2 linked regions of the Mus musculus genome follow. The protein of the gene in region 1 purifies or fractionates together with the protein of each later gene. This does not show direct contact. Links are inferred from orthologs where the notes say so. Each region holds a gene or a part of one and is shown on either strand. Other genes may lie near its edges.

The links. The genes of interacting proteins can lie anywhere in the genome.
Region 2: the proteins of Vps72 (region 1) and Actl6a purify together in Homo sapiens (affinity purification with mass spectrometry; 3 studies listed by BioGRID and IntAct, with this or other methods). This does not show direct contact. The link is inferred for Mus musculus from reciprocal best matches to the Homo sapiens genes VPS72 and ACTL6A.

Annotation. Positions count from the first base shown.
Region 1 is NC_000069.6:95,109,515-95,114,485, forward strand, and holds the start of Vps72 (vacuolar protein sorting-associated protein 72 homolog), read left to right. Parts: upstream 1-1,527; 5' UTR 1,528-1,583; coding exon 1,584-1,700; intron 1,701-4,971. UniProt on the Homo sapiens protein: Deposition-and-exchange histone chaperone specific for H2AZ1, specifically chaperones H2AZ1 and deposits it into nucleosomes.
Region 2 is NC_000069.6:32,721,761-32,726,274, reverse strand, and holds part of Actl6a (actin-like protein 6A), read right to left. Parts: intron 3,656-4,514; coding exon 3,560-3,655; intron 1,029-3,559; coding exon 942-1,028; intron 1-941.

The DNA of each region.
Region 1 (4,971 bases):
ATACATACTTTCAGAAGGGAGGCAATCTGGTGACCTCAAAGAAGGGCCACCCATTCGGTTGTCAGTGCATGTAAGTGTGCTTTATCAAAGCACCTTTTGGGGATAGGGGTGTAGTTCAGAATTAGAGAACTTACCTATCTTATACACTACTCTGAATTTAATCCTTGGCATTAGAAAAAAAAAACAGAAACAAAAATAAAACCAAAAAACAGTAAAAGAATGAATACCTTCTTCATTTAGTCTTTCATTGTTTACCTAAACCTAGCCTATTGCAGGCATTCACATTCGTAGTATAGACAGATACAATCCTTGGCCTCACTTGGGATGTACCTTTGTAGTAGAATGCTTTTCTAGAGTTCCTGAGACCTTGGGTTCCATTCCCAGCAAAGAGGGGGAAACACACACACACACACACACACACACACTCCAAAACAAAAACAAAAACAAACTCTTCCCTTAACCTAGTAGCATGAAACACGGAGAAGACCATAGCAGACCAGTCTATGAGACTGGCAAGCTTGGAGTACATAGAGAACCAGTCTCCAAAACCAAAACTCAGCAGATAGAGGAGCCTGCCATCAAGCCTGGTGACCTGACTTTGACCCCAGATTCCACACAGTAAACGTGGAGAGCCAGTTCCTGCACATTTGTCTTCTGACCTCCACACCAGTGCAGTGGTACATGCTCACACACATGAACACAAACACATAGTTAAAAAAAAAAGTCATACAATTTTTAAAAAGATTTATTTATTTATTTTATGTATATGAGTACACTGTAGCTGTCTTCAGAAACACCAGAAGAGGACATCAGATCCCATTACAGATGGTTGTGAGCCACCATGTGGTTGCTGGAAATTGAATTCACTCAGGATCTCTGAAAGAGCTGTCGGTGCCCTCTCCCAGTGTGTCTGAAGACAACAATAGTGTACTCATATTAAATAAATAAATAAGTACATACATACATACATACTTTTTTTTTTTGAGACAGCTTTTCTCTGTATAGCCCTGGCCGTCCTGGAACTCACTCTGTAGACCAGGCTGGCCTTGAGCTCAGAAATCCACCTGCCTCTGCCTCCCAAGAGCTGGGATTAAAGGCGTGCGCCACCACTGCCTAGCATAAATAAATCTTAAAAAAAAAAAAAAAGTAGGAGCGGAGAAGGGAAAGGAGTTTGCTATGAGGCAGGCCTACTTGGCGCACACCTTTAATTCCATCACCGGGAGGCAGAGGCAGGAAGATCTCTGAGTTCGAGGGCAGCTTGCTTTACACAGGTAGCTCCAGGCCAGCCAGGACTGTAAAGTGTGATCCTGTCTGTAGAAAAACAAACAAAATATCTAGGTAAGGAGGAGGAACCCTGGTACTGTGCCCTAGGCGCTGCCTATGAGTGGCCACAGCAGCCACCAGCCACAAAGAGACTTAAGGTGAAAATAACTAGGACCTCTCGACGCTCGGCTGCTTTTGCTTGCAGACGCTGAACTTCCGTCATTGACGGTCGCCCGCAGGTAATAGTGTCGAGTGCCGATCTGCGAGAACCCCGAGCTGGGCCAGGGGCTGAAGGCGGCAGCGCAGTCGCTGTAGGCGGTATGAGTTTGGCTGGGGGCCGGGCCCCACGGAAAACCGCTGGGAACCGGCTTTCTGGGCTCCTGGAAGCAGAGGAGGAAGATGAGTTCTACCAGACAACTTACGGGGGTTTCACCGAGGCAAGAGCCGGGCCCAGGAAGAGGGAAAGAGAGAGGCGAGGAGAAGGGAAAACCCTGGACAAAGAGGAAGGGGGCGGGGATTGAGAAAGGCTCGGAAAGGCGCTCCGGGCTGGACGGCGGAGTGGAGGGGACTTTGTGTGTGTGTGCGCGCGCGTGTGTATGTGCCTCTGTGTGCGTGTGTGTGTGCGCGCATGTGTGTTTGTGTCTGTGTCTTTGTCGGCTTTGCAATTTTCTTCGGAGTGTGTGTGTGTGTGTGTGTGTGTGTGTGTGTGTGTTTATCGGCTTTACAATTTTCTTGTACGCTCCTGGCTGGATGGCGGAGTCTGGAGGAGTGTGTGTGCGTATCAGTGTCTGTGTCTTTGTCGGCTTTGAAGTTTTCTCGTCCCGCTGCCGAGTTATTTACCAAAAGGAACCTGTCCAGAAACAAACTTAATTAGCACACTCTCCGCCGGGCGTGGTGGCGCACGCCTTTAATCCCAGCACTCGGGAGGCAGAGGCAGGCGGATTTCTGAGTTCGAGGCCAGCCTGGTCTACAAAGTGAGTTCCAGGACAGCCAGGGCTATACAGAGAAACCCTGTCTCGAAAAACCAAAAAAAAAAAAAACCAAAAAAAAAAAAAAAAAAACAAAAAAGTTAGCACACTCTCGTTTTCAGCTTTCAAATCATAGCTTACTGTTTTCTTAGGTGACCCTTTATCGACTAAGAGAATCCCCATTTATTTCCATCATAGAAACAAAATTTCAGTTTACAGTTAGATTTGGTTTATGTCTCATTTTCTGGTTGGTTTTAAGGTCTGTAACAGAATTCGGTCTTTTTTTTACAAACAAGGCTGACATTTGGCTAAATTTTTGTTAATAGAAGCTGTTCAGTGATTGAATATATGTTGTACAACCAGATCAGCATACTATATGTAATTAAATGGTTGTGGTGGATTCCTTGGAAACATTAAAAACTTCCCTGAGGATGGAAATATAGTTTGTAGCTCAGTAGTATATCACTAGCCTAGAAAATGAGTCCTAGATCCTGGATTACTGGCCCCTGGCAGTAAATAAAAACAAGCCCTACCTTGCAGGGCAACTGTCTGGGATCCTAGTCAGCTTAGATACTGTACGATAAAGACTTAAGTTCAAGATAACAGGTGAGAGGTTTGTGTTTTGTTTTTTAAATTGTATTATGTTTGTGTGTCTGCATATGGAGACCAGAGGCAACTTGTAGGAGTTCAGTCTCTCTTTTCATCATAGGAGCCCAAGGAAGCAAACTCAGGTGGTCAGGGTTATACAGCAAGCTCCTTTGCCCACAGAGCCACCCTGAAGGTCCCAGAGTTGTTAAAGACAGGCAGTGCTGGGGAAATAACATTTAAAATGAGGACATTTATAAAGAGCAGACCTTGGCTGGCTGAAGAGTCAGGGAGGAAAAGGAGGGCTCAGTTGGAAAGGCACTGAGGTCCTGGTGTGAAACCTATAGATATGGTTTTGTAGATTGCTATGGAGGATATAGGCCTGAGCTGGATTTGGTTTTGTTCTATGAGATAGGGTTTCTCTACATAGCTCTGACTGTCTTGAAACTCACTTGGAACTAGGTCAGTCTGGCCTCACAGAGGTCAACTTGCTTTAGGCCACCACGCTCAGCTTCTTTGCCTCCCAAGGGACTCTACTCCTGGCCTTATATAGATTTTGTTTGTTCACTTGCTTTTATTTTTAATTTATTTTTTATATTTTAGATTTGTTTATTTTTTATGTATGTTGTTGTTGGCTGCATGTCTGTCTGTGTGAGGGTGCCAGAGCCTCTGGGTCTAGAGTTACAAACACTGGTGAGCTGCCATGTGGGTGCTGGGATTTTGAACCAGTCCTCTGGAAGAATAGACAGTGTTCTTATCCATTGAGCAGTCTGGCCAGCCCTCCTTATACAGTTTTTATTTATTTTTTTGTTTGTTTGTTTTGTTTTTTTGTTTTGATTTTTTTCGAGACAGGGTTTCTCTGTGTAGCCCTGGCTGTCCTGGAACTCACTCTGTAGACCAGGATGGCCTCGAACTCAGAAATCCGCCTGCCTCTGCCTCCCAAGTGCTGGGATTAAAGGTGTGCGCCACCACTGCCCAGTTACATATAGTCTCAAAGCCTAGGTAGCCCTTCTGCCTCACACTCCTGAGTCCTGGAACTGTAGGTATTTGTCACCACCCTTGTATTCCCCCTTTCACCTCCCAGTCAGATTTTGTAAGCCATAGTGAAGCAATAGTAAGCAGTTTGACTTCTCATTTAAAGGTCTGAAATGAGGCATCAAAGTTCCATCATTAACTTTTTGGTTAAAAAGATTTCTCTAGTGCTGGTAGTCTTGGGGAGGTAGCACAGGAAGATGATCTCTGGTTCCAGGCCATCTTGACTGTGTTTCCAGTTCCATCTTGACTCAGCCTTACAGACAAACAAACCCTAATGAGTAAAGCCTAAAGAGGGCAAGGGCAGAAAAGAAATACGGACAAGGGCTGGACTGGGGAGGACACTGCTATTCCGGGGTAATTTGCTTAGCTTAGCTGGAGGTTCCAGCTCCCAGCACTACGGAATGGAGGTGGGTATGGGACAGTGTTAAGTAGGGTTGAAGGGAAGTTTTTGAAAAAGAGTGGACAGGACTTTATGACTAACTGGGAGCCACTATGTACACAGCTTTAATAAACTAGTTTAAAATAGATCTCTCTCATCCTTCCTCCAAGGTTCATTTCCTATTCCTGTCGTTTTATGAGTCGCTATTTAATACATGCACCTCATGCTTCCAGAAAGGATATATAAAAAGGCTTACAATGGAAACAAAAATTAGGAATAGTAAAAGTAGAAAAGGTGCCGAACAAAATGTATTTTATTAATGTGTGAAATTTTTAAATAATGAGTAAAATTATGTACATATTTTTAAATCAGAAGTAATTTTGCCGAGAATCCATGTTAAAATGGAAATAGCATTTGATGGCTGTGAGTTTCCTAGCAGTCAAACTAAATTTGTTATGACTGAAGTATACAGTATATTCAAGAAAGACAAATTGGGCTGGAGAGATGGCTCAAAGTTAAAAGAGTACTGACTGTTCTTCCAGAGATCCTGAGTTCAATTCCCAGAAACCACATGGTGACTCCTCATAATCATCTGTAATGGGATCTGATGCCCTCTTTGGGTATGTCTGAAGACAGCTACAGTGTACTCATATAAATAAATCTTTTTTTTTTTTAAGGATTTAAAAAAAAAAGTCAAATTTATTTAGCATTAAATTCCAGGGAGAATTTCTTATTATATGA
Region 2 (4,514 bases), about 62 Mb from region 1:
GCATGAGGAAGGGTCCTAGGGCAGTAGTGGGGCCTCTTAGTGGGCACATGCCAGTTACCTAAGGTCCTGAGGGAAAATGGGATGCCCTCCATCTCACACTCTCAACTCAAGGTGGACTCCTGTTCAGACCGAGCACAGTGATCTTACTGGTTACACAGCCAACTCCTGACAGCCTCACCAGGAGGTGGGAAACAACTGAACTCAAGAAATGGCTCATCGATAAATGCAGTGCACCTAAGCCTGCCCAGGGCCAAGACGTATTACAGAGGCTCAACAGATCCCACTGAAGGGGAAGACCGTGTGGGGTGACTTATTCACTGATGATGCATCTGATGTACCCAACAGAGCCAAGTGCAGTGGTGTAGACCTGTAGTCCCAGCACTCAGGCTCAGGCAAGACGGCTCCAAGTCGGAGGCCAGCCTGAGGTTGCTGGAGTGGGGAGTCATTTTTATATGTAAATGGTTTTAAGCAGATACTCCTACTAGGTCCCCACTCATCTGTCAGTTTTAAGTGCAAAGATCAATGAAGCACTGAAATCATTCTTAATATTTTTACTAAATAGTATTTTTAATGCAATATTTAAGCCAAATAAGAATCTTGCTTTTAAGTTAAAATTTCTGCTTGTACTGAAAGTTTTTATGACTCAAAATTGTAATAAACCATTTCCAGAAAACCCAGAGTGGTGTTCTAGGGAAAAATATATGTATAAACTGGGGAGAGTTACTTGTAGTACCAAGACAGATTTTTATCAATATAGAATAAATACTAAAAGAATTCTTGAGCCCCAACAAAAAGAACCAGAAAAGATGTAATTGTTCAGAGAAAAATATGGTGCACTGTGAGATGATAAAACGTTCTTTATAAACTGCTACACACAATCTTATTCTCAAAAGTTCCTCTCTCAAACCAGAGACTGTGTCAGTGGAATCTTAACTACTAACCAAAGATGCTAGGATAGAGCCACCAATCCATGAGCTGAACCTCCGCTCCACCGTCGTGTTGTTTGCAATCAGTTTCAACCGCATACTCTACAACAGATGAAGAAGAAGCGTTAGGATACTGGGATAGCCACAACCGCCAACCTGGGAATTCAGTGCTGAAAAACCTCTAGAGGCATGGTGGAACATGTACTTAATCCTAGCACTTGGGATACAGAGACAGGCAGATCTCTTAGTTCCAGGCCAGTATGGCCTACATAGTGAGTTTGAGGTCAAATAGGACTACAACAGCATCCAACACTCACACCCACTCACCCTGTCTGTCTCTACACACACGGAAAAACAAATTAGTTTCACATGGTGTCAAATGGCTAAGCTAATAGTTGGCATAGGCTAGGCTACTTTTCAGGAAAGGTCTTAATGAATATCGGGTAAGAAAATGAACTATGTGACTCAAGAGACTGGGCAAACACAAGCATGCAACACCACACCAGGTAGGAAGACACACTGGACTGGAAATACTGAAACCCATGCTCTAACTTTTGCTGTCAGGAAACTTGTTCAATTTCCTCAACATGACACTCCCCTGAGAGCTTTCATTCTGCAGCACTAAAGACATTACAGAGCTTGCAGTCTCCTCCCTTGAACAGCTCTATTAAATATATTTTATGATGTTCTTTTAATCACGAACACTGTTACTCTGTAATCTCATTTAGAGTTGTAAGACAGGATTTATATATGTACATAATTTCTTCCTGTTAAACATAAATTAACAAAGCAACAAAACCAAAACTGTAAAACCTGCGTAGGACAAGGCCAGCCCTTACAGTTCATGCACCTCCAAAGGCCCCAGGTGCTTCATTCCTCTTCTTCGAAGTCTCCCACCCACCACCCTACCCCAGAGATCCTGCTACCGAAACTCTTCCCAATCAAAATGCCAGACCACAAGTGACTTGATTCACGCTCATGTCTGCAACCCCAGCACCCGGGCTGAAGGGGGCAGAATGCTGAGTAAATCAGCCTGGTCTACAATGGGACAACAACATATGCCCCATCTCAAAAAACTAAAACCTTAGTGCCTCTGTTCTGAACGTAGTATATCGCCCAGGCCAGCCTTAAACTTGGGATCTTCCTGCCTCAGCCTTGCAGTAGCTGGGATAACAGGTTTGTATCACCTGGCCGGGGGTCAATGATGTATTCAATTCACTTTCTTTAGGGTCTTTTCCTTTCCTCCTTATGAATCTGCCTCTAGGAATCATTTTCAAGGTGTCCAAACAGGCACTCTATACAACACAAATGTGGACAACCTTCATAGTGCATTAGCGTGTGAGGTGTCAGAGCCCAGAACCAGCAATGTGCTAGTATGGGTGTCTGTTCCAGAATGGAACTTTTCTTCTGACAATTTTCGTTTTAATTACTCCCTTAAGGACAAAGGTTTCTAGATTACTCTTGGGGAGAGGGGGGCTTATTTAATTATTTTAATTATGTGTATGTATGTATATGCCTGTGTGAGTATATGTACACATGAGTGCAGGTGCCTGAAGAGGCCAGAGAGGGCACTGGAGCCCAAAGTGGGTTCTGGGAACTCATGTCCTCTGCAAGAATAGCTGATGCAGGGAAGGCTACATAACACCAGCCCCTAGTTCACTCCTCAGCAGACCTTGGGCCATTCATGCCTGCAGTTGTATTTGTTGGCTTTCTATGAAATCCAACCGTCAGAACTTCTACTGCAGGTTCTCCTACACCAGTGCTTCTCAACCTCCTTGACTCCTTTGGGGGTTAATGATGCTTTCATATCAGGTATTTACATTATAAATCATAACAGAAAAATTGAGCCGGGCAGTGGTGGCACAGGCCTTTAATCCCAGCACTTGGGAGGCAGAGGCAGGCGGATTTCTGAGTTCGAGGCCAGCCTGGTCTACAGAGTGAGTTCCAGGACAGCCAGGGCTACAGAGAAACCCTGTCTCGAACCCTCCCCCCACCAAAAAACTCCAGAAAAATTATAGTTATGAATTAGCAATGAGAATAATTGTGTGGTGGTCACAACATGAGGAACTACAGCATTAGGAAGATTGAGGACCACTCTCTAGACTATCATCTCCAACTCTGCAGTATACTGACGGCAGATGTCAATCATGCAAGCGTATTAATACCCAGACAGCACTTCTGTTTAACATCAGCAACTAAGACAGTTTCTACAGAAACACTTAATACCCTGTAAGCATATTATGCCTTGTATTATTAATACACCATGTAAATTACCCCTCCAGATTCTCCTCTCCCTTGAAAATTAGCACCATATGCCCTGTGAGTGTATATGTATGTGTGCTCATGTGTGCACACTTATATGTGAGTGTGTGTATGTAAAATAATGTGGAGAGAGATAAAAGACACCGAATTTGACCTCTGGCCTCCAGAGAGACATACATGGGTTAATGTACACAGCACACACAAACATTTAAAAGAAATTCAAGTAACAGAAGAGGAACCAATAGGTGTTACATAGGACAAATACATTATTAATAGATATTACTCATAATATAAAGGCACACAACTATCTATTAAATTCTACTCGGTGAGAATGGACACAAATAAATAACACAAAGAACAGAAAAACTTACTGGTGGAGTTTTCTGAGAAAGCTCTCTATTTAACCTGTCAGTGAAACTCTGTATTAGCGTGTTTCCTCCTGCTACGATCACACTGCCGTAGAGACCCTAGGAGAGAAGCAGAATCATGTCCAGGTGTTTCCAGCAATCCCACAGTATTGATAGGTGCTGGGAATTGGATCCAGCTACCAACCTGTTGTTCCATTTACTTATTTTGTATGTATGTAAGCAAGCAAGCCACAGCTTATATATGGAAATTAGTAAGACACTTTTGGGAGTTCTTTTTCCAACATGTGGATTCTGAGAATCAAATTCAGGTTATCAGACTTTGGCGGCAACCACCTTTATGCACTGAGTCATCTTGCCAGCCTAGAGCCACTAATGTAAAACAATTATTATTAATCTCATAATTTTTTTAAAGTTTTTTTTATGTATATGAGTACACTGTAGCTGTACAGATGGTTGTGAGCTATCATGTGGCTGCTGGGAATTGAATTTAGGACTGCTGCTGGCTCCAGTCGGCTCCACTCGCTCTGACACAAAGATTTATTATTATATCTAAGTATACTGTAGCTGCCTTCAGACACACCAGAAGAGGACATCAGATCTAATTACAAATGGTTGTTGTGAGCCACCATGTGGTTTCTGGGATTTGAACTCAGGACCTTCGGAAGAGCAGTCAGTGCTCTTAACTGCTGAGCCATCTCACCAGCCCCAAATTTGTAATTCTTATTGGCAAACAGCTACTAATATTAGAGGTATATTTCATAATATTATTCATCTTTGTTCATCTGAAAGTCATGATATTTTACATTAGACAAAATTGTTTTCTGATCCTGACAGATAATGATAATGTTTCCTGGCCAAAATGCTTTCTCTTTTGTAGAAATGTTGCAACTTTTTTAGAGCACAGGCTGAACTTCCCAAATAAAAACAACTTCCTACTCAGAAGGGATGTATTTACTTC